4 linked regions of the Diceros bicornis minor genome follow. The protein of the gene in region 1 interacts with the protein of each later gene in a pairwise test. Links are inferred from orthologs where the notes say so. Each region holds a gene or a part of one and is shown on either strand. Other genes may lie near its edges. The genes, in order: DISC1, SPARCL1, SH3BP5 and SMC3.

The links.
Region 2: the proteins of DISC1 (region 1) and SPARCL1 interact in a two-hybrid assay, tested with the Homo sapiens proteins (2 studies listed by BioGRID and IntAct). The link is inferred for Diceros bicornis minor from reciprocal best matches to the Homo sapiens genes DISC1 and SPARCL1.
Region 3: the proteins of DISC1 (region 1) and SH3BP5 interact in a two-hybrid assay, tested with the Homo sapiens proteins (2 studies listed by BioGRID and IntAct). The link is inferred for Diceros bicornis minor from reciprocal best matches to the Homo sapiens genes DISC1 and SH3BP5.
Region 4: the proteins of DISC1 (region 1) and SMC3 interact in a two-hybrid assay, tested with the Homo sapiens proteins (2 studies listed by BioGRID and IntAct). The link is inferred for Diceros bicornis minor from reciprocal best matches to the Homo sapiens genes DISC1 and SMC3.

What each region holds. Positions count from the first base shown.
Region 1 is NC_080745.1:24,572,021-24,580,106, reverse strand, and holds the start of DISC1 (disrupted in schizophrenia 1 protein), read left to right. Parts: upstream 1-4,503; 5' UTR 4,504-4,559; coding exon 4,560-4,830; intron 4,831-8,086. UniProt on the Homo sapiens protein: Involved in the regulation of multiple aspects of embryonic and adult neurogenesis. Required for neural progenitor proliferation in the ventrical/subventrical zone during embryonic brain development and in the adult dentate gyrus of the hippocampus.
Region 2 is NC_080747.1:71,569,138-71,577,767, reverse strand, and holds the start of SPARCL1 (SPARC-like protein 1), read left to right. Parts: upstream 1-5,348; coding exon 5,349-5,402; intron 5,403-8,377; coding exon 8,378-8,554; intron 8,555-8,630.
Region 3 is NC_080741.1:21,849,718-21,857,242, forward strand, and holds the start of SH3BP5 (SH3 domain-binding protein 5), read right to left. Parts: upstream 3,242-7,525; 5' UTR 3,120-3,241; coding exon 2,985-3,119; intron 1,245-2,984; coding exon 1,182-1,244; intron 1-1,181. UniProt on the Homo sapiens protein: Functions as a guanine nucleotide exchange factor (GEF) with specificity for RAB11A and RAB25. Inhibits the auto- and transphosphorylation activity of BTK. Plays a negative regulatory role in BTK-related cytoplasmic signaling in B-cells.
Region 4 is NC_080745.1:74,336,901-74,344,750, forward strand, and holds the start of SMC3 (structural maintenance of chromosomes protein 3), read left to right. Parts: upstream 1-4,240; 5' UTR 4,241-4,331; coding exon 4,332-4,346; intron 4,347-5,452; coding exon 5,453-5,528; intron 5,529-7,850. UniProt on the Homo sapiens protein: Central component of cohesin, a complex required for chromosome cohesion during the cell cycle. The cohesin complex may form a large proteinaceous ring within which sister chromatids can be trapped.

The sequences.
Region 1 (8,086 bases):
TTTAGTTTCTTTGTGAACCAGCTTTTCTGGGGGTGCTCCCCAATGTTTTAGTAGCAGGCAAAGTCAGATATTATGCTACTCGTCTCGATTGTGCTGGGTCCACAAAATGCCCACAGCGGGGGCGTTCCCCTGCTCAGGGCCCTGCGCCTCCAGGGAGGGCTGCGGACCTTTGGGCTGCTCCCGGGTGGCCGTGAGGCTCTGTGGCTTGTGAAGGCGGCATTTTTCCTCTCCTGAAGGGAGTGTCTGCCTCTTCCACCTCAGTTAGGATTGTCCGTTGTTGCAGGAGTTCCTCTTATCCAGTTTTCAGTTCTGTCTCAGGGGTAATTTTTCCACGAGTAGTTGTAAATTGGCTGTGTCTGCAGGAGGAGGTGTGTTCAGAGTCTGCCTACGCCGCCATGTTGACTTCCTCTCTCCCACAGATAGTAGTTTTGGCAGAGCATTGTGTGCAGGGATGGGAAATATGTATTCAGTGTGTCAATTCCAGTAAAAACAAAGTGCTGCCCCTTCCATGATGGAAGTGGTTCAATGTAATCAACCTACCATCAAGTAGCAAACTGGCTGATTACCCTGGGGAATGGTGCCATATTTTTGGTCTCTGCTGTTGCAAGATTGGACACTCAGCAGTGGCCATAGTCAGATTGGCCTTGGTGAGTGGAAGTCTATGTTGCTGAGCCCATGCATAACTTGCATCCCTGCCACCATGGCCACTTTGTTCATGAGCCCATTGGGCAATGTCAGGAGTGGCTGGGGCAAGAGATTGACTGGTATCCATAGAATGGGTTATCCTATCCACTTGATGATTAAAATCCTCCTCTGCTGAGGTCACCCTTTGGTGAACAATCACATGGGACACAAATATCTTCAAGTTTTTTGCCCGTTCAGAGAGGTCTCTCCACATACCTCTTCCTCAGATCTCCTTGCCACCAATTTTCCAATCATGTTCCTTTCAAATTCTTGACTATCCAGCCAAACCATTGGCCACAGTCCCCGAATTGTCATACACTTGTACCTCTGGCCATTTCTCCTTTCAAGCAAACTGAAAAACAAGGTTCGCTACTCAAAGTTCTGTCCACTGGGAGGATTTTCCTTCACTGCTGTCTTTCAGGAATGTCCCAGAAAGGAGCTGTAGTGCTATGGCTGTCTACTCTTGGATGGTGCCTGAACATTGTGCAGGAACATCTGTAAACTAGGCCTGAGTTTTCTCTTCCTCAGTCAACTGATCGTAGGGAACTCCCTATGAGGCCATAGCTGCAGGCTGGGAGAGAGAAGGTGATGTAGCAGGAGTGGGGACCATGGGCATTTGGGTCACTTCCTCATGTAACTTACTTGTGCCTTTAGGGTCTGCTCAGGCAGACCAGTCTCATATATACTACTTTCATTTGATGGAGCACTGCTATGTTCGCCCAACTTTGCGGCTTGTGGGTCAGACAACACCCAGTTCATGATGGACAGTTCAGGTTGCAGGGTAACCTGATGGCCCATGGATAAGAGCTCAGTCTCCACTAAGGCCCAGTAGTAACTCAACAGCTGTTTCTCAAAACGAGATTAGTTATCCACAGAGGATGGCAGGACTTTGCTCCAAAATCTTAAGAATCTGTGATGTGATTCAACTATAGGGGCCTGACAAAGCCTCCATCAGCATCTCTATCACCACTGACACTTCAGGTACCATTGGATTGGCCGGATCTTATGGCAGAGAAGTGGCAGAGAAGCTTGCATGGCAGCCTGGACCTGTTGCAGAGAGCCTTTTTTGTTCTGGGCCTACTCAAAACTAGCGACTTTTTAGGTCATTTGGTAAATGGGCTTGAGTAGCAAGCACACCCAAATGAGAAATATGTTGCTTCTAAAACCCAATGAGGACCATTAGGTGTTGAGCCTGTTTTTTGGGTTATAGAAAGGGCCAAATACAACTTATCCTTCACCTTAGAAGGGATGTCTCACACCACTGGACCTCTAGAAAATCCACTGATGGAAGGCCTCTGAATTTTTGTCAGATTTATTTTCCACTCTCTGACATGCAAGTGTCTCACCAATAAGCCTAGAGTAGTTACTACTTCATACTCACTAGGTCCAACCAGCATAACGTCACCAATGTAATGGACCAGTGTCAGAAAGGAAAGGCAATAAGGTCCCTGCTTGACTGAATTATGAGGTAGGGTTGATATATCCCTGAGGTAGGACAGTGAAGGTGTATTGCTGGTCTTGCCAGCTGAAAGAATGCTGCTTCTGGTGGTCTTTACTAACAGATATGAAGAAAAAACATTCACAGATCAACAGCTGCATACTAGGTACTAGGAGATGTGTTAATTGGCTCAAACAATGGAACTACATCCGGTGTAGCAGCTGCAGCTGGAATCACCATCTGGTTAAGTTTATGATAATCCACTGTCATTCTCCAAATCCATCTGTTTTCTGCACAGGCCACATGGACACGCTGAATGGGGAAGTGGTGGGTATCACCACCCCTGCATCTTTCAAGTCCTTGATGGTGGCATTAATCTTTTTTATCTGTCTTCGCATGCAGAATTGCTTTTGGTTAACTCTTTTCCTAGGTGGAGGCAGTTGTAGTGGCTTCCACTTGGCCTTTCCGACCATAATAGCCCTCACTTCACAGGTCAGAAAACCAATGTGGGGATTCTGCCAGTTGCTGAGTATGTCTATTCCAATTATGCATTCCAGAACTAGAGAAATAACCACAGGATGGGTGCAGGAACCCACTGTGAGAGGGAACTGAGCTAAAACTCTGTTGATCACTTGACCTCCATAAGCCCCTACTCTGCCTGGTAGACCATAGTGATGTTTTAGGTCTCCTGGAATTAGTGTCAGTTCAGAGCCGGTGTCCAGTAATTCCTGAAAAGTCTGATTATTTCCTTTTTCCAATGCACAGTCACCCTGGTAAGAGGCCATATGTCCCCTTGGGGAGGGCTAGAAGAAAGAGTAACAGTATACATTTTGGGCAGTGTTGTAGGGTCTTTCCTCCTTCATTCAAGAAGTTCTGGGTTGGTAAACTGCCTCAAGTCTGCCAGTTGATCGAAGGGCTGAGTCTCTCTGTTCTGGTAATTCAAGTTAGGCTTTTGTTCACTTGACCTAGAACTTTTCTGCTTATACAGATCAAATAAGAATTTAGTAGGCCTCCCATCTATTTCACTTCTAGGAACGCCATGATCAACTTGCCGACACCGACACTGTAGGTCTGTGGGAGTCAGACTATTCTGATTGTGCTTTGACTCTGTTGTCCATTACAGAAATCATGCCCACCTTGCCTTGGGTGATTCATTGCCACCATTTGACCCCTGTCAACTATAATCCAATTATCCCCGTTGCATTCAAGGATCCTAGTTCAGTGGCTGCAGTTCCCATTGTAATGTCTGACAGAGAGAAGAGTGACCAAGGATGCTGGGTCACAAGGTTATTTCTGAGTCACAGTGAAAGGTGTGTCCTCTGAACCCTCCTGGAGTGGAAAGCAGGTCTTACATGATAAATCCACTCTGATATTCCAATCCCCCTAAGCCTTTGGGTACTTCCTTAGCAGTATAGCAAGGCAGTTCTCGCATTTCCAGTGTAGGACAGCTCTTGGTCCATGTTTCAATCTAGAACCAAACTGTTAGAGCCTTTTCTAATCTCTCAAACTACAGCTTTGAATCCAGTTCTCTTAGTGGTATATATCATTAAACTCAGCCAGATCCAGCTTTATGCTCCTTCCATCTTCCACACATCCTTAATATCCATTCTCATATTCATTCTGTCCACAACACAACGACTTGGGAGTGCGTTTTCACTCCCAAGATTCTTATCTTTTGAAGGACCTTGGCCCTCCTCTAGTTCTAGTGACATCCTGCCCACTCCTCCAGAAGGTCTCCCTGACTCTTCACAAGACTCCCTCTTACCCTGGAACTTCTGCAACACTTTCCGTGCCAAGACTCTTGTGCCAAGACTCTGGCTCTTGGCATATCCTACCATATGTTGCTATTTAGTTTTATATGCATCTGTTTATCTTCCCGACTGGAGGCGAGCTCCTTAAGGGCAAGAACCATTTCTGGCAGGTGCTACCTAAGGGGGTGCTCCAGTAGCCTTCCTGAATGAGCCAAAGAGAAGAAGTGAAGGAGGTGAGTCAGTAGCCTAGGAGCTCCGCACGGATCACAGCTTGCGTCCAAGATGGGGAGGGGGCTCTGGGACCAGTCCAGTGCTGCCTGAAGATTCAAAAAGTTGGATTCACATTTCATTTTTGAACAACTGCTCCCATTCATCTCTTTCCCAGCGTCATCTGTCGTCTCCCCGCTTTCTCCTCACCCTTTCATCCCCTCCGTCTCCTCACCAACCCTTTGGTCACTTCCCTAATCACGCGTGTGGGAGGCGCCCTCGTAGACCCACCCCTGGTGGCCTCGCCGTCTCTCCTTCCCTGCGCTCCCGTTCGCCCCACCGCACTTCCCCTCTCATTTTCGCCCACAAATGAGCGAGAGTGAAAAGCGAACTTTCAGAGGTCTGGGAGACGGGCTGTGGGCCTGCCGGGCCGCCCGCCCCAGCCGCGTGCGTGCGTGTGTGTGAGTGTGTGTGTGTGTATGTGTGTGCATAAGGGGCCGAGGCTGGAAAGGAAACCGCTCGCCTCGCCGGGGAGAAGGAAGGAGCCTCCCTATTCCTCGCCGGCCCCCTCCCCACTTCCCGTCCGGCTCGGCGCCTCGCTTCCCCCTCCGCGGGCCTCGGGCGCACCGAGCCTGCTGACCGCCGACGAGCTGGAGGCGGCGGAAGCGGAGCGGGAGGAGCCGGCGGGGCGCATGCTGGGCGGGGGTCCCCAGGGCGCCCCGGCCGGTGGCGGCGGGGGCCACCGCGCAGGTAGGGTAGCTGTCACCGCAGGCGGGCGGGGCCGGGGGCATCCGGGCAGGGAGGGCGCGCTCTGCCCCCTGGAAATCGTGTGGGTCTGGGTGTGCCTCTGTTAACAGCTTGGGTTCTGTGCACCCTTTTCGAGGTGAGGGAAACTGAGGCAGGGCGCGTGGCGTGCGGGGTTGGGGGAGGAGTCCGGTCTGGGGCTGCCCGCCTGCGCCGAGCCGGGCCAGGTCTCTCCCCTCCGACTGTACTGAGATCCCGGCGAGCGGCAGTTTTCGAAACAGCGCTGGTAGGACCCGCCCCCGTGGCGGGTCTTGGTGGCCGAGGAAGGCGGCAAGGGCCTGCCTGGGGTTTGGGTCAGTCCCGGGACCCGGCGCCGCCGAGCCTCTCGTCGCTGTGCGCCCTCACCCGCTCACCTGTGGGACAGGGGACGCCCGGCTCGCCCTCGTCCCGAGACCCCGCTGAGAGACGGGTTCCACCCCGTCGGGGACCCGGAGAGAGGAGCTGGGGGTGGGATGAGGAATGTGGTGCTGGCACCTGCCCAAGGGGCTGCTCTGCAAACAATTTCGCCTCCCACTTCCGACTTGGCGACAGCAACGCCCACGGCCGGGCTAAGGAGAGACCGCTCCGTTTCCACTTCCCAGAACACGGGTCACGCTGTCAACTCTCAGTGTTGACACCGAAGCCATTAAGTTGATGGTTGCTTTTCAAGAGTGACAGGACGTGTCCTACCACCTTACTCTTAAAATACCTACAAAGGCATTTGAGACTTTCGGACGAGAATGCGGGTTGGAGTCAGGGAGTGCTGCCGTTGCGTCCTTGCTGGGCCACCAGAGGGCCGGGTAATTTTAGACACAACGCTTAGCATCTGGGAGCCTTGGTTTCCTCAAATGTAAGAGAGAGCACCCATTACCTCGCCTCCTTGTCTCACACGTGTTGTGCATGAAGGCATTTTGCCAACCGAACTGTCAGTTGGACAAATGCAATTTGGGTAGTACCAGAGAACTAAGAGTTGGAATTTGGAGATAGTCTGCCTGCATCTCAGTCTTGGACTTAGCCATGCCTCAGTTTCCCCATTTGTTAAATGGGGACAATGACAGTGCCCACCTCATAGGGTTGTTACGGGGTTTAAATGTGGCAGTGGCTGTGAAGCACTGAGCCCAGGGCCTGAGATGTGGAGTAAGCTCTAAATAACCTTAGTTGCTATTTTTACTAAGCAAAACCTAAATGATTTGGAGAGATGTGGAAATACCAGTTTGATTTGATTAAAGTATGAATAGCAGAGTATTTGAGAAGAAATTTAGTTTTATTCCATTCAGGTACGGCACATAAAGTCTTTTGGGGTTCAGCTGAGAACTGTGTCACTGAGCAAAAAGCGGTCTGGAGTGCTTTGACCCTGAGCCTCGGTTTCCTCATCTGTTTACACAAAAGATAAAAGAAAAGAAAAATGCGGACGGTAATTATGGCTTTTTGTACTGACAGAGCTGCCTGAGGATCAAATGAGGTAAAAAATCTGGAAGCACCTTGAAGAGTCTGAGTCACTGGCTAATATGAGACGTCACTGCTACCAGGAGGGAAGAATAACAGGGGCAATTTTTTGAGAGCTTACAATGTCAGGCCATCTGTTAGGAATTCTTCTGATGAAATCCGCCCCAAACCTTTGTGAGGTAGATATTTATAATCCTCATTTTCCCTGTACAAAGCTGATAATCAAGGTTACTCTGCTTTTGTCCCAAGGTCACATAGCTGTTAAGAGTAGAGCCAGGATTAAAATCCGGTGTGGGTGCCTCTCACAAGTGTGTTCTCAACCGCTGACCAAACTGAAGTTATGGAGATGAGCCATGGTTCAGAGTAGACCAATGTTAGATTACAGTTAATAATGTCTTGCATGTTTACAGACTCTAAAATATGAGTGAATTGTTAGCCCTGGCAGAAGAGACTTTGAAATAATCTTAATTTCTTTCATCTCTATTTTAAAATCCCATTTTAAATTATTTTCTTGCAAAAATAAACAATGAAAATTTGCAATAAAAAAGGTATTAAAATCTTGAAAGAACGTATTACAATAACTCATTGCAAATCTCAGACTAAATGGAATCGGAATTAATTTTATTTTAACGCTTAAATTTGCCAGAAACCTTAGAATGGCACAAGAGGTGTAACTGGGATTGAGGCTTTTGGTGTCATGGTTACCTTGCAGGGCTGGGACCCAGGACATTTCTGTAGGGACCTCACTGCTCACTGAGATGACCTCAGAGGGACGTGGACCTTCAGAGAAAGTCTGTGCACCTGAAGGGGGGTGAATGCCAGGTCTACAGGCTGCAGAAACAATTCCTAAGTCATTTGTTTCCTAAATGAAATTTCTCTTATTCTTTTTTCTTTTTCCAAAAGCAATGCGTGCTCATTACAGGAAGCACAGAAAACTATAAATAAGAAAAAGAACATAAAAAAACAACAGTGATCCTGAGCCACAGAAAGCAAGTGGCCAAAAGGAAGGGGAGTGGAGTGTCAATAGAGACAAATAGCTTGGTGTCTCTGCTCTTGTAATCCATTTCTGTGCTATGTCCATCAATTTATATCTGTTTCAAAAATGGGATGCAAACTATTATTGTTTTAAATGAAAAAAATAATATTTGCTTGTTGCTTGAACATTAAGACATTAATTTAGAAAAAAAGAAGCCAGAATTTATTATGCTCATTAAGCCTTTTCCATTTAAAAATAAACCTTAAACGTTTGATTGGAGGATTAGAGATTAAATTGTTGATGTCTGAATTTTATTGTGGTTTTGGTCAAAGTTTCAGAGCAAAGAGGGGGTACAATGGTGATCTTTAAATACTGAGAGCTAAAGACCAGCACAGAACAAAGTTTCTAGGAAAAATAAGTAGCATTTGTACATTAGGGTCATTAGACTAGAATTAGAACCATTCTTTTGATAATGATGATAGTAATTCAGTTTATATGCTGGGTTCTCATGCAAAGCAAGCAGAGAGCACTGCTGCCAGAGATGCCCTTGGCAGCCACTCTGGGAGTGAAGAGGGTCCCCTTTGGCACAGCTGGGGCCAGCCATTTTTCAGCCAGCACCATTTAGTAATGCAAGACGTTTAGCCTTTGGGAGTCTACCCTTGCTTGTTCTTGACTTTAATGACTGTGTGGTAAAAATTCCTTGGCGAATGTCTTTTGTGCAACAATCAGGCAATTTTTTAAATACCTGCCACAGATGCTTTAACCATTCTGAATCCCTTTTCTCTTTTGAAATGAGAGTTT
Region 2 (8,630 bases), on another chromosome or scaffold:
GCTGAGGCAGTGTCTAGTAAGCGCTCAATAAATGAATAAGAGTGAATGAGTGGTGCAAGCTATGGCCCACTGAACATATGTTTCTTCTTAACTCATTCGGCTGCATTAGATTTAAGAAAAGTGAAGGGAATTTGTGAGATCCTGTCATCAAATTAAAGGGAAATATTTTCTCAAATTTATTTAGTTATGCACATTGCTATAAAAACTAAAATCAAAGGGTATAAGTCTTAAAACCCACAACACTTTTGCTGATTCTTGCTTCCTCTTTATGTTGTTACCATTTATAAGAAAATGCAGTAACAGTCTCTTAGCCTAATTCCATTGTTGTTTGTGATGAATGTAGGAAAGACTCCTGGCATTAAAGGGAGCTTTGGTAAATGTGTGGGCAAAACAGACTCTAAATGTTCCACTGGAAAGTTATTCTGAACTCACAGCACAACTTAAATTATATTATTTTCTGAGGCTCTAAGTTGTTTATTCAAGAATCACAATTTGACTTTTATGGAAGATGAGAGAAGAAAGAATAAAAATTTATTGAACACCTCCTAGGTATCAGACATTTTTACAAGTATTATTTCTTCTAATCTTCACAAAACCAAATTAGATATTGTGTTAGTCAGGGTTCTCCAGAGAAACAGAGAAAGAGAGAAAGAGATTTATTGTGAGGAATTGGCTCATGCAATTATGGATGCTGATAAGCTCCATGGTCTACAAGATGGGGACCCAGGAAACATGGTGGTGTTATGTAACTCTCCAGTCCTTGTCCAAAAGCCTGAGCACCAGAGCACTGATGGTATGTGTCCCAGTCCAAGGGCAGGAGAAGACCTGCATCCCAGCTCAAACAGTGAGGCTGAGAAAGCAAACCCTCCCTTACTCCACATTTTTGTTCTATTCAGGCCCTCAACAGATTGAATGTAGCCCATCCACAGTGGGAAGGGCAATCTGATTTATGCAGTCTACTGATTCAAATGCTAATCTCTTCTGGAAATACCCTCACAGGCACACCCAGAAATAAAGTTTAACCAGATATGTGGGCACCCCAAAGCCCAGTCAAGTTGTCACATATAATTAAGCTTCACAGATGTTATCCTCATTTTTAGATGGGAAATCTGAGACTCAGAGTGTTAAGTAACTTGCCAAAGATACATAGATGGCAAGTGTTGGTCCAAGTTCAAATATATGACTTTCTAACCCCAAAGCACAACTTCCTTCTACTAAGCCAGTAGTTCTCAATCAGCATGATTTTGCCCTCCAGGGGACACTTGGCAACGTCTGGAGACATTTTTGGTTTTTGTAAGTGGTGGGGGATGGAGGACTTGCTACTGATATCTAGTGGGTAGAATTCAGGGATGCTGCTAAACATCCTACAGTGCACAGGACAGTCCCCACAACAAAGAATTATCCATCCCAAAATGTTAATAGCACCAACGTAAAGAAACCCTACACTAAACTATGTTAATTTGCATTTTTACAGTTTTCCAAAACAGTAGAATAAAAATAATATGCTGATCTAAAATATGAATGACTATAGTTCCATAAATTTAATAAGTACTGGTGGAATGAATGAATGAATGTTAAATTCTGAAATATAGAGGAAGGAGACTACATTTTTCAATGACTCTTTACAATGAGCATTCATTAAGAGAATAAAATATTTTAAATTATCATCAATAATAGAGATGGAAAATAGATTCTACTTATTTACTCAAAGCATTAAATACCATACAGAAAATATTTTATTTTGATACAAGAAAATCATAAAGTATATTTTTAGTGGGTTTAGTAGTTTAAAGAAAAAAAATAGCAGCAGTTTGTTGTTCATGGAATTCATAGAATTATTTCCAATTTTAGAACTATAAAATATTGGAGCTAGAGGATCATCTAGGTCACCCTCTTCATGGTCCGTCACTTAAGAAAACTGTGTCTAAGAAAGAACAAGTGACTTGCACACGGTTTCTTGGCCAGTTAAGGACAGTGTTGGAGCCAGAACCCAGCTCTACTAACAGTTTAATGCTTTTTTCATTCTAAGGTGTTTTTCAATAAAACTGAAGTGTTAGAGATGTGGGGGTGGGGGGCTGCATGTTTTTATTTCAACTTGTTCTTCATTCAAGGGAAATTGAATTTCTACACTTTCGCCTTGTTTATATTACCAAGCAATGGGCTGTCTCTGCTCGCCGCAATCTGAGCCAAACAATCACAACGAGTTAGACATCGAGAAAGGAAGTTTTGGTTCTATTAGCCGGCATAATCAGGAAGATGGCAGACTAATGTTTCAAAAAACCAACTTCAAAAATTATAGAATCTTGAGGTAGTTATATAGGGGAAATGGGCAGTAAGGAGGGAATTTAGAAATGTCGGCCTTCAGGCATGATGGACTCCAGAATCTTTTGTTGTTCCTTTCTTCTGTCAGCGATGATGAATATCTTGTAGGTGTGTTTCCCATCTGTGGTCAGCCTGTTCCTGGAAAGAAACTCATAGAACAAAATTTTAATTTATCAAGCTATAGGGGAGTACACACGCAAGCAGAGGCCATAAATCAGGAGAGCATGTGAATTATTTTATAATTTTATTTGTTTATTTATTTTCCCCCCAAAGCCACAGTAGATAGTTGTATGTCATAGCTGCACATACTTCTAGTTGCTGTATGTGGGACGCCGCCTCAGCATGGCCGGAGAAGCGGTGCATCGGTGCGCGCCCGGGATCTGAACCTGGGCCGCCAGCAGCAGAGCGCGCACACTTAACCGCTAAGCCACGGGGCTGGCCCGTAAATTATTTTAGAGTACGTGCAGAGCAGTGAGTAGTCACACAAAGGAGGGGCTGGGGCCATTGAGTGTAACAAGATGAACTCACTTATGTTCACTTTCATTTAGACTATAAAAAGCATTATTGAAAGGGTCTTTTGATATCAAATAGCCCAACTGACCTTCTATGCCTTTTTTTCCCCAACACAGAAAAATGTATTAGCCATGTATGCAAAAGCTTAACCCTTAAAATGTTTGGAACTCTTTATTTAAAAATTGGAACTGAATTCTGAATTTTTCCCAATACTGGTTTTGGGATTTTTTTCCTTCTTCCCTACTTCTTTGTGTAAGAGGTAAATGGAGAACTTTATTTGCTAAAGAGCTGGGAAAGCACCAGAGCAGGAGCCAGGGAAGCTGGGTTCAAGCCCAGGTCCCTTTTGAACCGCTCTGTGACCTTGAGCACGCACTGTCAGAGCCCTTCCAGGCCTGTTCTTCATCTGCCACATCATGGGGTTGTTGCAAAGATCAAATAAGATAATATCCCATCTGTAAATCTGTTTGGTAAACCCAAGGCACTTGATGATATAAACTTCCGGTATCTCTTATACACCATTACTAGTTCTAAATAATGTTTATTTAAAGATATAAATAATGTAACACACATTCCACTGTTAGTACTCTGAATTTCTATGTAAGTTCTGTACAGCCATTTTCAGAGGGGCCCCTTAGAGGAATTAAATTTAAGTCTCCAAGCTGAGTAAATGTTATTTTCATTAAAATTAGAATAGATTAGTTTATTTAAGGTTATATAAGGTTATAAATGATTTGAGTTTTTCCGCTACACTCAATCCTGAATCACCTTCTATGTGCAGCTTTAGTCTCCATCCTTCCAACACACTGTTCCCTAGTCCAGGTGGCCCACCCTGTGGCGTTGGAATAGTGATAAAGGTGAAAATGTGTTCTTACTTGTTTCTAACATGATAAGAAAGTCTGTGCTGGCACCTATAGCCTCCTTTTCATCAATATAACCTTTATTTGCTAATAGAGTTAGAACCAAAGACTATAGTAATTTCTACGTGTCCTAAAAAATAATAATAATAGTAATAAATAAGGAGATATAAATCAGGTGAAGAAATGGAAATCGTCTGTTGATTAAATGGAACAAATGAAATATATGCATATATTGCCATTCCCTGCTAAAATTCCAGCATAATGATAGGAAAAGAAAAATAACGATATAAACACACAATGACAGAGAAAAAAAAAGGAGGAGACAAAGAAGACAAAAGATATCAGCAAATTTTTAGAAGATGGAAAGGAGTTGGAAGAACAGGGAAAGCTGAAGCCTAGGGGTTTTCAGCCAAGGGTGCCATAGACAAAGAAGGCAATTCCCACTGCAGAACCCAGAAAAGTTTCAAGTATTGGAGGCACCAGGTAATTTGGAAGGCGAGATGAAGGTAGAGGCTAAAATCCGGAGGATTGGTTGAAAGCCTATCAGATAAACATACTTGAGACACTTCCTCATGCCTGCACAGCCAGTGGACTTCCCATTTCACCCTAAATAGGAAAGACAAGGTTATTCTCTGGCCCTGGACTTGAGATAGGCACAGTGGAGGGTGGGTTGTGGTGCCGTACAGAAAGCTGGGGACTAAGTGAGTGTCAGTGTATGCACTGACAGATCTCCAGACCCTTCACTCATTCATCTCACAGAATGCTAGCAACCAAGCTTATACTCCCCTCTCCAAGGTAGGAGATACAAAGAACTTCTCTAGGAAAAAAATGTCTCCCCAGAAGGAAAGATCTGACAATGACATTTGGGGTGCCCCATCAAGACCGTTAGGTTCCTGCCTCAGCCCCTCCGTGGAAGCTCTCCAAGGTGAAAAGTCCTGCCCTTGAAACTTCTAATTGGCTTTTTAGTGACTCACTATTAAATATTACTGGACAACCAAAGACATTAGAAATTTCAGAGAAGCTTCCAAAGAGAAAAACAAAGACCAAACCAACAACCAGGAAAAAAAAAGAATAATACGGAAACAGAAAATGCACGGTGCAGAGGCAATTTTAAAATGTATACACAGTGCCTACCAAACCCAACCCATCTACAGACCACCGCCAACTCACAGATCACCAGTGCAAGACCTCTAAATTAGATGGACATTGATGGCCCCTAAAGCCAGTGCCATGTCTCATTCCTAAGAACCTTCACTAAATATACGAGTTTCTCCACACCAAAGAGGCAATTTGTTGAAATATCATGTTACTTCACCTTGTGCCTTTTATCCTCACTGTGAACACTCACAAATCTTAAGACCCAAGATCTTCTTAGAGTCTTTATTCAAGGAAGCACAGTCATAAACAGAGATAGGCTCTGCTGAACACAGCTGGGCCAAAAAATCAAGGAGTCATTCTCACAGGGACACAATTGGGTAAAAACTGTCATTAATCTGTCTTTCCAGACATGTTAGTCCCCAAAGATGACAATCACCTTTAAATACAAAGGATGGTATCAAGCTCAACATTTACGAAGAAGATTACCTTTTAATCTTTCATGAGGAAAATATTACCCACCACGGCTAATTGTCTTCTTGGTTCACAGATCTGGAAAGCATGGAGACGGTGCTTTTCTTCCTCTACGTTTTGGGAACCGCAGCTGCAATCCCGGTAAATACTCTCGCTTCTGTTATTACAGCTCTACCTCCCGACACTTAGTTTAGAAATCCTCCATTTACATGAAAATGTTCTTATACAGTGGTTTGAAATTCTCTTTTTTGTTTTAATCATAATATTTTTTTGCCCAAGCAGGGAATGGATGACTAGAAAAGTTGAGATGCTATTTTTTAAAAATATTTCTTTCAGAACCATCAGATTCTACAAGATGCAGTAAATATGCAGCTGAAAGTGTTGATTATTAGTTTATTAGCCAGGGGATATGCCCAAATACCAAAGACAACAGGAAGAAATAGATTCTCCTGTGGAAATTCAACACATTTGTCTAAGAACTCTAAGAAATTTGTTTAAGAAATCTTGGAGTGCACACCCGCACAGTCCAGCAGCACTTTCTGCAAGATCAAATACAGTCTGGCTGAGAAATTCTGAGTCTGTAATAAAAATGGGAACTGGTGGGTTGGGGGCAGGAAATGGTACGGTAAGCATAAATCAGCTCCTAGCTCATCCTTCAGGGTCTGTCCAAACAAACATGCTGAAAGCAGACAGGACTAGAACACTTTTTCTTCATGGTCAAGTATACTGGCCTTCCCATTCAGACAGCAATAAATCAGCCGTACACAAACCAGACCGTTTGAGACCACATCAGCAGCCTCACAATAACCTGGATGTTGAAAGAAAGAAAGAAATGAAAGAAGGAAGGAAGGGAGGGAAGGAAGGAAGGAAGGAAGGAAGGAAGGAAGGAAGGAAGGAAGGAAGGAAGGAAGGAAGGAAGGAAGGGAAAGAAAGCAAGAAAGAAAGAAAGAAAATAGAACCAGAGCTTGGATGATCATTTAGATGTTTCCCCAAATGATCCGTACCATCCTTAATCAAACTAAAGGATCTGTGCCATTTTTTCTTTCTCACCACACTGAGGAATCAGCCTCTTTAAACACACAAAGCAGTGTATCTCTTGTCCCTTCTCTGACTCCCTCTCCATGCCTAAGATTCTGTCCTTGCTTTTTGGATAGCTGGTGGCTAGATTCTGGTTGACAGATGTGTCAGCAAACACAAACGCCCCGCCACCCAGACCAAGCAGTTCTTGGAAAACAGAATTTACAATCACCGCGGAGAATCATGCTTAAGTAGTGTGGAGCTACTCCAACTGAAATTATACATTGTCCTCTGAAATTACAAAAGTGGGATAAAGGATGTTCAGCATAGAAAGGAGCACCCACAGAACCACTGTTTTCTCCTGAAAATGTGTTTTGCTCGTGCAGCTGTTGCCGCCATGTAAACAGGCAGCAAAGTGTCTGAGAACCAAATGTGTGAATGACACGCCTGCATATAGACACATCCCAGATGTTTCCTTTTTAGGACAGGTTGTTATCAAACAGACCCAGTCAAATGCTAAAAAGCTAAAACTCTTCTCATAGAATTTACCTATTAAAAATCTTGTATCATTTTCCCCTCCTCTCTGAATTCTCCAGAAATCAGTGGAGTCTGTGTGGTTAGGAGATTCCACACAGATGTCCAGAGGGTATGTTGTTATAAATATAGAAGGGGGCATAATGATAACACAGAATTTCATGTTCAGAAAATTTTCTGAAAGAAGATGAGCTGCCATGTTTTTTGTGCATTTCTTCCATTTTGGGGAGAGGGAATGAGGAGGAAGGGAGCGGAGAGGGGAGCAGTTCTCCACTGTAAACCTAAAATCTCCTCCATCCACTGCCTTTCATGATGCCCCTGCTGGCAACTTGCTAAACTGGCCATCATTCTTTCTCCTTTTCCCTCTTAAAAATAGCTTCCTTGGAAATTTTTTCAAATATTATTACTCCTCTTAGTTGAAAAGGTAATAAGAAGCAAGAGAGCCAATCGAATCTAAAATAAATCCTGTACTCCATGGCTTTGTGTATATTGCACAATCAGCACTACAGGACCTGCTAATGGAGTAAAGAGGAGTCAATGCAAATCGAATCTGAGTTTTATACTCACACCTGGATCTCTCTGACACCTGGGTGTCCACAGCATCTCTCACATGAAGATCCACGGTGAACGCCTGCCTAGGATATCAGACAGTTCATCTTATGACCACTGCAGGATATTACCACTAGAAATAGTAATTTTTCACTTGGGTAACTCCTTAAAATTCACAAAATATTTTATGTACATAACCTTATCTTGATATTTCTGCTCACTTCACCTTGAGAAATGACAGAATGATTAACAATTTGTCAAACCGCAGATGGATAGTAAATAGTAGAGTCAAGACTTGAAGGAGGGTCTCTCATCTCTAAGCCCAGTTGTTCAACTTCTCCATTACGTATCACTGTTCAGCTCTTCATCTGTCTTGCTAGAAATAGACAGAGTCATCCATCCAGCAGAAATAATACTCCACAGCTGCTCTTCACTACTATACTTGGTGCCCTGTTTCACACAGCTTTTTAATTAGTTCTTGATTAAATTGTTTTTTATTGGAAGACTTTTTGGTGGATATAGGGCTGATAGTGTTAAGAAAGTAAACAAATATTAAATAAAAGGTTTATAACTTTTTCTACTAATTATCTGTGAGTACTTAAAAGTAAGCTTAAGAAAACGTACAATGCTATATCTTACTGTTAATTTAATTTGACTTCAACTTTCTGCTAAACAACATTTTTCAAAATTATAAAGTGTGAATGCTTTGTAAAAGTTTGAAAAACACAGAAAATAATTCCGAGACTCAAAGGTCACTATTCTCGATACCATTTTTGCTCTATTTTCACCCAGTTTCTGCATATATAACTTTTCTTAAACATGACTGGGATTCTGTTTTCACTTAAGATTATATTCTGGACATTTGCTTGTATCTTTTAAAATTCTAGAAAATATTTTTAATTGGTATTATAAATGAGGTATATTGCTACGAATAATGATGACAATAAAAGAGTAACTAGAAATTTAAATACTAACATCTAGATATGAATAATACAAACTAGTTTTAATTTTTTCAGACAAATGCAAGGTTCCTATCTGATCATTCTCAACCAACTGCTGATTCCTTGAGTTCCATCCAACAGGCTGAATTGTCGGTAACACCTGACAACACTGCAGTCCCCATTTTAAGGGTTGAAGATTCAGAAAATGAAAAGGAAACTGCAGTATCCACAGAAGACCATCTCAACCATAAGGTAAAAGTAGCATGGTTATGCTAATATAATTTTTAAATTCTCCAAAGGTCTCAATTTAAAAACATGGTCAAAGATA
Region 3 (7,525 bases), on another chromosome or scaffold:
AAATACTTTGTAAACTCTAAATCCCTATAGAAATGATAGGGTTTTTGCTGTTGCTGTTCAATGTATTAGAAATCTGAGATTCTGAGAGATTTCAGTTGCCCAACAGAAAGACTTGATTTATCATAAGTGAAAAAAATTTCAATAAACACACAGATTTCACTTCAGTTGGGAAGAAGGGCAGCCAGTGTTCATGGATACCTACAGTCAGAATAGATGGGTTAGCATAACCCTTCATACACAGCCCGGAGCAGCAAGCTTTTAATCCCCATCGCCACTTCCAGATTTGGTACCTCCAGGGCCTAGCCATGCAGTCAGAAATCAAGGCTGCCATTGTATTGATGATAGATTATATTCCTATCTCCCACACTCCAGGGACCAGATGTTTCCTGCCCTTCCTGTTCACCTTCCCTACCATTTCTTCTGCTACAGAAACAGGTCCTCCCAACAGCTCCCTGCATTCCTTCAGCTCTCTGACAGAGTTATTCACAGGCTCTCAGATATATGCAGGGTTTGTTCATATTTGCTGATGGGGTAAAACCAACCACCACTGAAAAGGGATGGGGACTAATTGGTGGCTGTGAAGAATGCTAATCTGTTTACACTCAGGTTGAAAGATGCTCATGAAATTCAAATCAACTTCTAGTCTCCCAAGATTTTTCCCAGCAGGAAAGCTCTTCGCAGTCTAAACAGCTTTTCCTTACCATTAAGATAATTATATTCCACACACAAGCAGACACTAAAGAAATGAGCAGGGAAGTGGAAAGGGGTGAATTATTAGTGCAGGAAAGGTAAAAAAAAAAAAAAAAAAAAAAAAAAGGAACTGCCCTAAAATATTTAAGAGATTTTTATGAGCTCATTCATTCTTCTCCACTAAAGAGTTCAGCTAATTTTCCCCCCAGTCCATCCAGCTTTTCCACAGACGCGTTAACTTTAGGGCTTCCGTGAGTGTAAAGCTCTTGGTTTTGGCCCCACAGAGCTTCCATGATGAAAAACAACATGTGAAATTGGATCCACATGTGTTCCACCCACAAGCTGGGCTCAGTGGTGTATTTTATTCTGTCAGACAGCAGGCTGTTGCTCAACTCCGAGGAGGGGACGCCAGCTATTAAAACAAAATTAACCAGCCTGGTGTCAGCGGGACTGCACCACCTCACCAACAACAGGGACCCAGCTTTCTGTACCTCAAGTTCAGTCTCCCGTCGGTTGATGTCATCCGTGGATTGATTTAACTTCTCCAGTTCTCCCTAAGGAAGAAAAGACAGAAAAAAAGATTTAAGGGCTTCATCTTTTGTTTCCGGTATGACTCAGCCCATTACCTGGAGAATTACTCCAGGACAATTTGTAGGAAGAGGGAGGACTCAGATAATTCTCAAGGAAAATAGTTAAGCCTTGGCTAGAAGAGCAAAGGAATGGCAGCATATCTGGAGCCTTTTTCTTGATGGTGTCCCTTTTGAAAATGTCTTAAGGTCCTAGGAACTTGTCTTCTCTTAAACGGGCAAATATTTATTCCAGGTATGTGCCTTCAGGTAAACCCACCTGTTACAAATGGTGTAGGGGCCAAATCAAAACAGTACCTTCTGCCATAGAGCAAGAATTTGCAGAAAAGACAATGATAGAAAATAAACAAGGCCAACCCAAAAGTATAAACCTAATGAAATGATTTAGTCAAGGACAGAATTCTGGCATTGATTCATCAGCAGTTGAGTATTTTTCTGTACAGATGAAAATCTTTTCAAACTGCCTATTATTCAACCTACCTAGCTGGTTTTTTTTTTTAATAAAAAAATTAGCTTTAATCCTGATCTTTTAAATAAACATGTACAAACTGACCTTTGTAAAAAGTACCCGCATGAAGTTAACTCATTTTATTCTACAAACAAAGGGTCTTGTTAACAGAATTCCTGTACCAAGAAAACAAGATTTAGTAGTCCAAACTGATTATTTTAAATAGAATTCCTAATGCAAAGATTTTTCCACCTGATCTTTATCTTGCTAATCTGCCAAAACAATGCATTTAAACAGCAACAGCTGAATTAAATGAGCTTTTAATTGACCTGTGCACTGAAAAACCAATTAGGGCTCCAGAAATTGCAGAGCATGCTTAAAAGCAATATTTAAAAAAAAAAAAAAAGATTTATGGAAAGGGTAGAAAAATGAGTCTTGGAAAGGGGATTTGCTGTGCTTTCTGCTTCGAGGGTGAAGAGGTTAAACTGTCACTCCTAGATCTCGGCTTGGAAATTGTTTTTTAATCATCTACCTTAGAAATGGAGGCACAGAAAGCCAGGCCAATCCCCTCGCCTTCTCCCCGCATCAGCTCTGCGCATCAGTTGCCCCTGATTTCTGTTCACACCCGGCCTCCTAACAAGGAAAAGCTGGGCTTTAAAGCATCTGAGGCCAAGCGGAGGGTTGAGCCAGTGGTGACAATAAACCCTTCAGTTTGCTAACAATGAATCAGAGGAGGAGGAATATGGTTCGGGCCGGGCACCTCCGCCAGGTGGGGACTCCAAACCCAGGGCACCGGTGCCAGCCCACGCTGCAGGGGCGGACAACGCCCACCCTGCCCAGCTCGCCCACCCGCCCACGGAGTCGGGCGCCCACCCTGGCCGGCCCACCCCTCCTCCCGGGGCCAGGCAGCCGTGCAATGCCTGCGGCGCCGCGAGCCTAGCCGGGGGTACCCCGATACCCACATGGCGCCCCCGCCCCCTTTTTCCCTTTGTTGCACATCCGCCCGAAACGCTGGGCACGCTGCGGCGACCCCCGGATCCTGCCAGGGGTCTGCGAGGGGGAGCCCCACAATAGAGTCAGGCCGCATCCACGCGGGCACTGCAGCCTCCCCATGAACCAGGTGAAACGGAGTATTTAGACGCTCTCTTCTCGCCCCCAGACCTACGTGGCCACCACCTCCCCGGAACGCAGGCACTGGGGGCTGCGGGACAGGTATAAGTGTAGATGCCGGGATCCGGGGCGCCCCCCGCGCGCCCTACCTGGATCCGGGGGTCCACTTCTTCCTCTTCCAGCCCCTGCTCCATCCCCTCTTCCTCCTCCTCCTCCAAGTCCCGGGCAGACGGCAGGAGCTCAGCCGGCTCCTCCGAGCGGCCCCGCTTCAGCGCCGCGTCCATGCGGGCAGCCGGAATGCGAACCGCGCGGGGGACTTCGGAGCGTCCGGAGGGGCAGCGACTCGCCGCAGGCTCGGCCGGAGCTGTCTCGCCACAGCCCGGCACGGTCGGGAGCCGCCGGGGCCGACACCCGGGAGGCGCCGCTCGCCGATGCGGATCCGTCCGGCGCGGGCGGAGCGGAGGAAATGGGCGCGGCCGCCCCCTTTCTGCCGCGGCTGTCAGCGCAGCGGCGCCCGCTCCGCCCTCGTCCCGCCGGGCCGCCCTCCGCGCGCCTCCGACTGTTCCTCGGCAGGTCCCAGTTACCCAGGCCTCCGTCACAAAAACCCCAGCCCTCTGAAATCCTCTAGCGTGGGGAAATAGGAGAGCCCTCACCCCTTCTTAGCAGCCCGAATATCACAAACCACCCAACATTGGCCACCTACTCTCCCGGCAGCTTTCTCCCTCCCTCCTCGGCCCAGGCGAATTGACTGTATGGAAGGAAAGTTTGGGGTATTTCCAGTCTCTGAAATCACCTTTAGAAGCCTGTACTCAGTGACCCTGGGCCAGTTTCAAGACTCCTCAAACCCCTGTATACACCCAAAGCACGTTTCTCCCCTTGGTTGAATCTTGGGAATTCTATCTATGTACTTGAAGATTTCCCCAGAAAAGGCAACTGTAACGTGCTCACATTGACATAAAGTACAGAAAGGGGAGCCAGCTGCAGCTCCAGGCGCGGATTCTTTGTCCAAAGTTTGTGACCCGCGCTGGGCAGAGCTCCACACCCAAACAGCTGTGCGTTAGTGTTGTGGCATGGTCCTACCTGAATAGCCAGGAAGCATGGAAAATCCATTGATCAGGGATGTGGGTGGGTGGGTGGGTACAGTCTTTTCAAGGAGGGGCTAAGTGTTACCTCTGTTAATGGGTACACCCTGTCCAAGGATTTATGAACTGGTGAGGTTTCCTGCCCACCCTGAGTAAGTAGGGAGGCAGAGCTTGCCTGGCAAACTCGACATCACTAAAGTGCAAAGAACGAAGGGGCATGTCTGTGCTGTTATGAAATGTCATGGCCACTGTGATGTCAGGGGAGCACAAGGTCAGATGACCTTAGCAAAGCAGGCAAGGACATTGCCACTGGCCACTGCTAATGTCTCCTTCACTACAAAAATGCAGAAAGCGTACACATCTACACAGAGGCTTACGGCCGATTGGCTCTGTGAGTTTGGAGGACAAACTTGCTTGAGAAAGGAGCTTCTTTCTGAGATCCCATCGTTAAGCCACCTTGAAAACCTGCTTCTGATGGTTTTATCAGAAGCTAATTTAGAGGGTTACTCCTTGGGTAAGGTACCACCCTATATATGCTGGCACTGTGGTCCACCATCAAAAGAGATTCATCCTGTCTCCTGGACATAATATAGGTGTATGCTATACGTTTGTTTTGGAAAGTTCAAACCTCTTCATTGTTCTTTAAGGAAGAGTCAGCAATTCTTGGAGAGATGTTCTGAAGTTCCTTGCTAAAGACTGTTGCTTTTGATTTTCTACTGATGGATGAAGGCCAGGACAAGATGGTCACTAGGGTCACTTTGGGACACAAGAGTCACCATTGTTTCCCTGGTGGCTGGGAATTGAGCCTATAACTGAGCAGGTTCATCCTAGCTGTGAATCCACTGAGACTGAGCTGGAAAACCAGAAATGTGAGGTCAGCCCTGACTCTCAATGCTTCTCAGCTGGTGGAACCCCAGCCTCACCATTCTAAACAACTGCCTCTAAAACACATTTCTATTTAAACTTAGATCTAAGCGCAATAGAGTGGTTCAAAACGCCTTCATGGGACACAGGGAAACTGCTCTAGAACTTGAGTTCAGATTTTAGTTGTCTTATTTTTAGGAGACCTGGCCAGCTATAGTGTTGATCCCAATAGTGATCTGAAGTTAAAATAAGGAAAATAAACAAACCACAGCAATACGATATATTTTCTATTGGTACATATATATGCACATAAATGCCTAGAAAAAGGTCTGGAAGAAGGACTTCAGACCCAACAAAGAGTACTACCCCTGGGAAAGGGGGGTAGGGAGGGGCCCAGGATTGGCTAGGATGGTCAGAGGAAACTTCTAATCTCTCAATAATGTTTTCATTTTTTACAAGGAGGATATATTTATAATTATTTGTATAATTTAAGAATAAATTTAAAATAATACATACTGTATGAGTTTTTTATTGCTGTGTAACAAATTACCACAAATTTAGCAGCTTAAAACAACACATTATCTCATAGTTCTCTAGGTCTGAGGTTCAGGCACGGCATGACTAGGTTCTGGGCTCAGGGTCCCCCAGGCTGAATCAGGGTGTCGGCCAGACAGCATTCATTTCTGGAGGCTCTGAGGAAAAAGTCCTTCCAAGCTCATTCAGGTTATCAGCTGAATTCAGTTCCTTGTGGTTGTAGGACTGAGGTGCCCGTTTCCTTGCTGACTGTCAGCCAAGGGCCAGTCTCAGCTGCTGGAGGCTGCCTGCATTCCTTGTCACGTGGCCCCCTCCATTTTCAAAGGCAGCAACAGAGATCTCACTTGTGTTGAATCCCTGTTACACTTCAGTCTCTTCTTCAAGAAGAGCTCAGTCCCTTTTAAGTGTTCACTTGATTAGGTCAGGTCCACCCAGAAAAGTCTCCCATTCTTAAAGTCAGCTGTGCCACATACATAACCTAATCGTGGACATGACTATCTCAACTATTCACAAGTTCCTACAATTATACAGGAGTATATACACCGGATGGTGGGAAATGGGCCAATCTTAGAATTCTGCCTACTGCACATACTAAGAAGGCAAGCCGTGTTAAGTGGCTTGTAAGCCAGATACATGCTTAATATTTATTTTAGCTGGCATGTTGATCTGGAGCAGCAGCTCTAAAGGTCTGGGGTGGCGACCCCTGCAGGTCTCTAACTGGCTGCACCAGCTTGCACTCCCACCAGCAGTGTATGAGAGTTCCCTTCTCTCCACATCCTCTCCAACACTTGTTATTTCTTGTTAATTACAGTCATTCTGAGGGGTGTGAGGTGATATCTCATTGTAGTTTTGATTTGCATTTCCCTAATAATTAGTGATGTAGAACATCTTTTCATGTGCCTGTTGGCCATCTGTGTATCTTCTTTGGAAAAATGTCCTCATATCCTCTGCCCATTTTTTGGTGTTGAGTTGTATGAGTTCTTTATATATTTTGGAAATTAACCTCTCTTCAGATATATGATTTGCAAATATTTTCTCCCAGTTGGTAGGTTGTCTTTTCGTTTTGTTCATGGTTTCCTTTGCTGTGCAGAAGCTTTTTAGTCTGATGTAGTCCCATTTGTTTATTTTTTCTTTTATTTCCCATGCCTGAGTAGACATGGTATTCAAAAAGCCACCGCTAAGACCGATGTCAAAGAGTCTACTGCCTATGTTTTCTTCTAGGAGTTTTATGGTGTCAGGTCTTACATTCAAGTCTTTAATCCATTTTGAGCTCCTCAGCTCTTTTTGTGAATAGAGAAACTTGTCTTTTTGCCCCACCCTGATGAACCCCCCAGAGTGGAGGAATGAGAGGAAGTGAGGCGACGTGCTGATGTCACAGCGCTTGACTGAGTTTAGGGCAGAAGGAGGGAGAGTGCTGGCCATCAACCAGGTGAAGGGAGCAGCATTTTCCCTCCTGGCAACTGAAAAGGGCCATGTTACACTCGGCAGGAACACGGAAGTCATCCCACTGTTCTGCCTGCAGGGCCAGGATGGGTTAAAGAGAAGCTGACACTGGGCCTTGAATAACAAACACAACTTCCTCAAACAAGGGAGGAAGGTTTTTGCCAAAGAAAGAAAGAGCTTCCCAGATAGGGGAAAAAACAGGAGGAAATCATGGAGGGGTTCGTGGAACCCCTCATGGACCACAAAACCGATGAACCATGGTTCATGGAACCAATCATGGACTGGTCAGGAACAGCAAGGCGGGACATCATCCGGACTTGGGACCCAGGAAGGGACGGTGGGGAGTGGAAGGAGCAGGGCATGAAGCCTAAAGTATAGTTTGGGGCAGGTCCTCAAGGGCCTTGAATGCCAGGCTAAAAACTTTGGACTACAGACTGTAGAAAATGAGATGCCATTCATTCATCCAACAAATATTTATTGAGCAGTTAACATGATTTGGACACTATACGAGAAGTCAGGGGTACCACTACGAACAAAAGACACAAACTCCCTGCCATCAGGGAGCTTACATTCTAGTAGAAGGAGAGAGGGAATGAACGAATCAATGTATAATACGTCAGGGTGATCAGTGCTAAGGGCAAAAACGAAGCAGGGAACGGAGAGAGAGACGAGGTGTGGTTATGGCAAAGGCCTCCCCGAGAAGGGCACTTTGAGCCAAGACCTGAAAGAAATGAGAGCTCAAACCACACGTACCTGTAGGGGAGGAT
Region 4 (7,850 bases), about 50 Mb from region 1:
TTGATTATGAGTACTCCTTTCAAACATCAAAAACTTTCATGGAGCCTGTCTTCACCTTCTAGCAGTTATCTTCTTGGTATTCATTCTTCATTCATTCAACAGGCACTATTCTAAACCTTGATAAAGTACAGAATGGCCAACGCAACTATGACATCTATAACTCTTTTGAAGGGATGTATACATTTCATTTATTACTATAGCATCTATTGAAAACAATGGTGTTTACGGAGAAAGAAAGATAATTTTTAAATAGATAAAAAGGTGCTAAACCTTAGTCATAGAAATACAAATTAAATTAAAAGACATTAAAATACCATTGTCTACATTTCAGATTGGCAAAGATCAAAAACACTGTGTTGGTGAGGATTTGGGGAATCATTAATTTAAAAAATTATTGATCTCCTATCATGAGTCTGTGCTGGGCACTGAGTAACCAGCAGTTAACAAAGTAAACAAAAGTTCTTTTTTTCCAGGATCATACATTCCATCGTGGGAACAGGGGTATACAATAAATGAAAAAGAGAGGAAAGGGGAGAGAGAGAGAGAGAGAGGCAGAGAGAACATCAGATAGGGAATGCTCTAAAGAAAAACAAAGCAGTGTCATGGTAAGTGACCCAGGGGTAGTGTTACTTTAGATAGGGTGGTCAAAGAAGACCTTCCTCATAAGCTGACAATTGAGCAAAGGCCTAAATGAAGCAAGGGGTGAGTCTTGAGGATTTCTGATAGAAGCATTTTCCAGACAGTGTGAAGCGGTCAGGCAAATCCTTTCACAGATACCAATGATAAAAACTAGACTAAATGTTAGGCAATGATTTCTTAGATATGACACCAAAACCACAAGCAACCAAAAAAAAAAAAAATAGATAAATCAGATGACATTAAAATTTAAAATTTGCATACTTCAAAGGACATTATCAAGAAAGTGAAATTGGAATTAGAAAGAATATTGGGCCTAAGGTTAAGGTCTTCAAATCTTGCCTATAGCAAAAACTCTGGTTCTAGAAAAGGTGTGGGGGGAGGACGTGAACCTCCTGCTTCTTAGTAAATAACTCATTTTTGCATTTTGTGACTTTTTCCCCAAAAAAACTCTTAGACTAAATTTGGTGATTTTCTATTAAATACCTTTGAAATTGTAAAAGATCATTTTAAAATATCAATTAAATTGGAAAATTATCATCATACCTTATTGTTAAAAAATGTAACTTTGTGTTTAACTTTATAGTGATACAGTTACTACAGAAGGCAAAATTGGGAATTTGGAACACGGCATACTTGACTCCATGCCAGAATTTGAATTTCTGCACTAGTCTAAATAACTAAAGCTTTGTGTAAAGATAAAGTAAACATGAGATTTTAGTAACATGTTTGCAATTACAATGTATTTTAATTATATACATCACTGGTGTCCTTTATGAAATGTTTCTAGAATGACCCAGATAATCTGTATATCATATAAATCTGCACATGGTCTAAATCTGGGTATGGTTTAAACATTCATAGCTGAAAATTTTTCAGGCTTTTTTTCAGCTTTAAGATATATTTCACAGACAATAAAATTCACCTACTTAAAGTGTACAGTTCAGTGGTTTTTACTATATTCAAAAAGTTGTACAACCATCATTACAATCTAATTTTAGACACCAGGGATGTATATAAGCTGTTTGTTATCTTTTCCCAGGGACTTGCTGGATTTGAGTTTGGTTATAAACTATGAACAAAAATAGCTAACATTATCTCTTGTACGAGTTGTTTTACATAAATCATCTTAATTTATCTGCACAGAATTTTTAGTAGGTATGATTATAATCTCCATTTTATAGATGAGGAAACAGAGGTTCCAAGAGGTTCTTCTCCAGGTCAAATAATCAGCAAATGGTAGGGCTGGGATGTAATATGGGACTCCCAAAGTCCAACTCTCAGCATACTCACGCAGGACTCTTTGTGGAAGCAGACCTCTGTCTGCATCTCTGCTGCCTGGAAGGGCAGAGAGTGGTCCCATTTTAAACACAGGAAAACTAAGGTCATGCAGTAAGATGGTGTCAGCATAAGATCCCTGGGTTTCCAGTCCAGCATGGAACAATAAGCACCCTTGTTCCTCACAACATCATAGTGAGGAAAACATAAGGGAGACCACACTCGTGATAGCACAGTGAAGCTGGTAAAAAGCTACACAAATATAAGGGACTATGATTGTTGTTTGCCTATGCTTTCAGTATTTAAGAGATTCTCGTCTTAAAGAGATTTATGATTAGTGCCTCTTTTTGTTTTGTTTTGTTTTTTTTCCACTTCAGTATGTCCGAGGATCATGTTGAATCAATCTGAGGTGGAGCTGAGGGAGAAAAGTAAAAACACTGAAGGAGGTGATGCTATGTGGTGTTCATGGGATGTTTTGATGTAAAAAAAAGAGCCTGCAGTTCTCACCTGCTTGACTATGAGCAAGTAGGCATTGTGTAGTTGTCTGCTTCATGGAGTCGATTTCATTTGGGAATGTCCCTTTGCCGCCAGATAGTGCATGGGTTTGTTGAACCTGTCCTCCCTGCTAAAGGAGATCCGTGTGATGTACTGTTAAATGCTTCCCAGGGGAGAATGATGCTGCCATGGGGATGGGAGGTGGGTAGCATGGGGTCATGTGGAGCCTTGAAATACCAAGAGCTGGCATAAATGAGCCAGGCTCTGTGGTAGGTAATTTGCTTTCCTACAGTTTTCATTCATAAGTATTTATGAGTACTTTCTAGGAACAAGTTACTAAAGAAACAGCAGGAAGAAGATAAAGGCCCTTCTCTCTTGGATTTATGTTGTAGCAGAAAAAGACAATAAATACACAAATATAAATAAGACAAGTATGTTAAATTCTCAAAATCACCTTTTTATATTTTAAGTTTTCACTCATATTTATTTTTTCTGCCTGAATAAATTATATAAACTAATTGTATAAGATTCATTTAACATGGAAAGTCTAAGGAATAAAAATCTCATCACTGTGACAAACATCCTTTCATCTACATATCTATATAATTTAGGTAAATAGGATTATTTTATACATCCTGTTTTTAATTCTAAACATGAAGTGGTTTTATCCTCATTTTATAGCCCAGGAAATGGAGGCTTAAAACTTTAAATATTCATATATGCCTGCAATCCCACAGTTAGAAATTGACAGTGTAGAGACGCTAATACTGGAGAAATGTTTATTTTAAAGAGATATTTTTTAAGCCAAGGGCTGGATAGGATTTGATCGGGGCTTGATAAAGGACTCTGCCAGCACCGAGGGGTGCTGACAGGTTTGAAGTTAGGAGGCTATTAAAGATAGTTCAATCTTGAAATATTAGGGCTGGAACTGTCCCCGACAGCGGGAGGGGCAGCGAGGACCGACCGACTTGAGTGGCTGCTGAGCAGCAGATAATTTTACAGCGACCCAGGGATCCAATTTCTAACCAAATAATTTTCCCCTAAAACTGATACAGATCAGATACACCTAGTGTTGCCACTACCACCTAATATCTTTCAGGTTGTTTAAAAAAAAAAAAAAAGGAGCTTTAATCTTATCTAAATCTCTTTTTGTTGCCATTGTCCAAGTCTGCCTAGATTTATGGCAAAGGGAAGAGGAATAACAGCTCCCGGGTTATTAATCATCACATTATTAAAACAAATTTTCGAGCGTTAAGTCCCTTCGGGGCTGTCCTGCGAGTGGGTGGTCTGGAGCCAGTGGGGGCCATTGTAAGTTTATAAGATATAAAAGTGCCTAGAGCGAGAAAGAATAATGGAGCGGCAAGGACTCCGACCACCGAACTCCAGCCGTCACTCAACTCTGTGGGGTCAGGGACAGACGCCTCCCGCGCCGAGTCCGCCTTTTTATAAAGCCCGAGACCACGTGGGCAGCGCCCCGCTCCGCTACTGGCTCTGCGACTCTCACCCTCGGCTTTGGCGCCAACCTTTCCCCCCTTGTGGACGCAACCATTGGCTCCGCGCTCGGAGGGAACACGGGCCAACCTCACAATCGAGGCCTTTCAGAGTGAGGCTTCCGACGAAGTCTCAGGCAAGGTTCAGCTACAAACTAAGGAATCAAATGAAATCCACCTAAGGACGCCGTAGAAGCCTCCTTTTGTCCAAAAGAAGAGCAGACTCGACCCTGACTCCCCCTACGCTCTGTGGGGCCCGCGAGGGTGGTTCCGTCCGAGGCGCGGGCTCCGCCTCCACGGGCGCCGCCATTTTGTTTGGCTGAAGGGGAGCGAGCGGCTCTCTGGGGGAGGGGTCGCGTTGGCGCCTCGCCTGACCGCCCTGCTGCGTTTGTCAGGGGGCAAGGCCTTCTCCCCAGCCAGGGGCGCGGAACCATGTACATAAAGCAGGTGAGGCCTAGGCGTCCTTCCCACCCGTGAGGACCGTTCCTTGCGGCGGGGGTGTTGCGGCGCTACCCGTAGCCTCTCCCCTCTCCAGGGAGGGTGGACTCGGGGCCGCACGGGGATGAGGGGGTGGGAGAGGCCCCCCCCGCGAGCGCGGGGGCTGCTGAGAATTGGGGCGCCCCTCTGCAGCCCGGGCTTCCCCGCACAGCGCTCGTCTGAGGGGCGCAGGAGCTCCGAGGGGTGCGGAGCGGCGGGCGGCGCGGGCCCTTTGGAGGGACCCGGCCTTCGCAGGTGGGCTGGGGTCGGGAGAGGCCGGCGTGCGGGCCGAGGGCCCGGAGCTGGCGGGGGACCTCGTCGGGGACGGTGGCGGCCAGGCGGGCGAGAAGCTGCTGTCCTGCGGGGATAGCCCCGCGCGGGTCATTGGCGGGCGGGGTGTGTGCAGAGGTGGTCGCCCCGGCCCGGGGGCGCCCCTGGGGGCACAGGCTGGGATGTCAGCCTAACCGGCCTTTCATCTCCTGGATTCACGGGAGAAGGGAAAGGGAAGGGATCCTCCTCCTTGCAGAGTGGGTAGCGCCTCCTGGTTCAGTTGTTTACTTTTGTCAAAATGGGCTTCCCGCGCTGGAGTCCTCCACCAAGATGAGCCGTTCGCACCCTTTTGGAAAAGAGTCTCTGTTGGAGATGTTGGCCTCTCCTCCATCCTGGAACGTCTCCTCTTTTTGGCCGGCCCTTGTGTCTGCTTGAAAGGAGCGCCCACTGCTCCTGGAGGCAGGAAAGCTGGGGCCAGTCCGCCTACTTGCTAGACTTGTACTCTAGGACTGCAGTGTTTAGTGTTCCAACCAGCCTCATACAGTGGACTGGATTTTGAGAGTTCCGTAACGGGTTACTAATTATAACTCCTAAAAAAGCAGCGCTGGCTATGGTTACTGATAAACGGGCTGTTTTTAGAAGATTTTTAATCACCACTTTCCAAAATGAGTTTTTCTTATATGAAATTGAAAGTTTTCTACCTTGCATTAAATGGGAAACAAAGAAAGGGAAGAAGTGCAAAAGAAAAATGTTAGTTTAAAAAGTTTTTTCTTTGTGTTCTGAAAAATGCCTCTTTTATTTATTAGGTTATTATCCAGGGTTTTCGAAGTTACAGAGATCAAACAATTGTAGATCCCTTCAGTTCAAAACATAATGTTATTGGTAAGTGTTCATGGTTTAGTAGATCCCATTTCTATCTCTACAGCCATTTAAATTCTGCCTATATCTAGGTTTAAGGAGACAAGGGTTGTCTTTGAATATTACATAAATTTATGTATATTTTTCTATATGAAATAATTTCTGTCTTATCTGCACTGATGAATTGCTTATTTTATACATTTAAAAATGTATAAAATACACCTGTATAAAACATGTATTTTTTTTTTTTCTTTCTGTGAGGAAGATCAGCCCTGAGCTAACATCCATGCCAATCCTCCTCTTTTTGCTGAGGAAGATTGGCCATGGGCTAACATTCATGCCCATCTTCCTCTACTTTATATGGGACCCCACCACAGCATGGCCTGACAAGCCGTGTGTCAGTGTGTGCCCTGGATTCAAACCCGAGGCCGCCAGCAGCGGAGCATGCGCACTTAACCACTACGCACGGGGCCGGCCCCTAAAAGATGTATTTTAATGTATAAAATACATTGTCTTGGGTAAGACCATCTTAAGTTACTCATTTTTATTTGGATAGCGTTGTCTGTGTGTAGTGTGTTTTAATAGCTTTAAGTTTATAGTGAATGACACTAAATTTAGCATTTGAGCTATTGTTCTTGATATGTCATTTCCTAGTTGAAATGCTCGCTATTGCCTTATTTCATAGATGACCGTTCTTTATTCACAAATTAGATTGCTCTTAGATTTTTTTTTCCAGTTATAATGTCTAAGGACAGACCATGCAGCTTGGGAAGAGCATAAACTTGGGAACCATAACAGAATGCAGTTCAAATACCAGTTCTGGCATGTATTCTGTTTTAAACTTTACTCCCTGAGGGGCTTCAGTTTTCTCATTTGTAAGGTGGCAATAATGGTACCTACCTCATAGGGCTGGTGGAAAGATTAAAGGAGAAAGCGAATGTGTGAGGATAAAGGGCTAATGGTGATTACCCTACAATACAGTATTTAGTCTGTAGGTTCTTCAGATGATAATATTCCATTTTGTTGATACAGCCACTGAAAGTGTTTGCTGATGTTCTGCTGAATTTTTAAAGAATAGATGAAATGAGTGCTTCTAGACACCAGAAAAACATAGAATGTGCTATTGACATAGTTAGACTTCTGCTACACAGTGTCCTCCTTACGGAGTATATTGGTATATTAGTCTGCTAAGTCTGCCTTAACAAAATGTAGATTGAATGGCTTAAACAACAGGGTTATTTTCTCACTGTTTTGGAGACTCAGGTCCGTGATCAGGATGCCAGCATGGTCACATTCTAGAGGCCTCCATGCTTACGTGACCTCCTTTGTTTGAGTCTCTCTTCTTTATAGAGCACTAATCCCATTATGAAGGCCCCACCCTCATGGCCTCATCTAATCCTAATTACCTCCCTAAGACCCCCATTTCCAAAAAAGCATCACATTGGGCATTAGGGCCTCAACATAAGAATTTGAGAAGGACGCAATTTAGTCCATAGTATGGGGTGAGGTGAGATTCATATAGAAATCAGAATGAATGCTGATGTTCCCAGAGAACATGGGAGAATCATACTTTTCTTTATTTTGAAATAAAGTAATACATGATAAATTTTAAAAATTGAGGGCAGGAAAAACCTGCCCTTAATACATCAACTGCAACCTTGTAGTTGGGAGTAAAGAAGACATACTTTTTCCCCCTGCTATACCTACTGAAGACTTGTTAATTGAAGTGGTTTGCTGTAAGGTAGCTTGATTGTACTGGGATTTTACTTACATTTTGATTGCAAGTGCCTTCTGATTTTCATCAATCAAAATCTTTAGAAATGGAGAAAAATGAATAATTACTAGATATATGTTATTTCTTTAACTTACAAGTTAAAAGTAGATAAATAAATCAATTGTGTGATTTTTATAAATGAGCTGTAAAATGATGACCATTATTGCCTATGATGATTAAATTATGTCTATAGGGCATCAAGTATTTTTGTTGTAGCTATTATCAAACAACTGTTTTACTACTTTGATTGCAACATTAGGATTGTTAATAGTCACAGTTACAAAGGAAATGATCTAAGTGTTCTTTCTTTTGTTTATTTTAACTGAAAAACAAAACATAATATGATTTTGTTGGTTTAACGTGTTTTAAAAACAGGTACTTTAATATTGTAAAAAAGACCAAAAGTGGTATAGACTGCTGTTGACCCTAAAAGTATCCTATGAAAGCATACCACTTTGATTGTTTAATGATTTTGACCCTTAAAAAAACAAAATTTGGAGGCAAATATCCCTTGTGCTGATGTTTGGATATTTGAACGATGTTTGAATGAACAAAGCATGTACCTTTTTTTT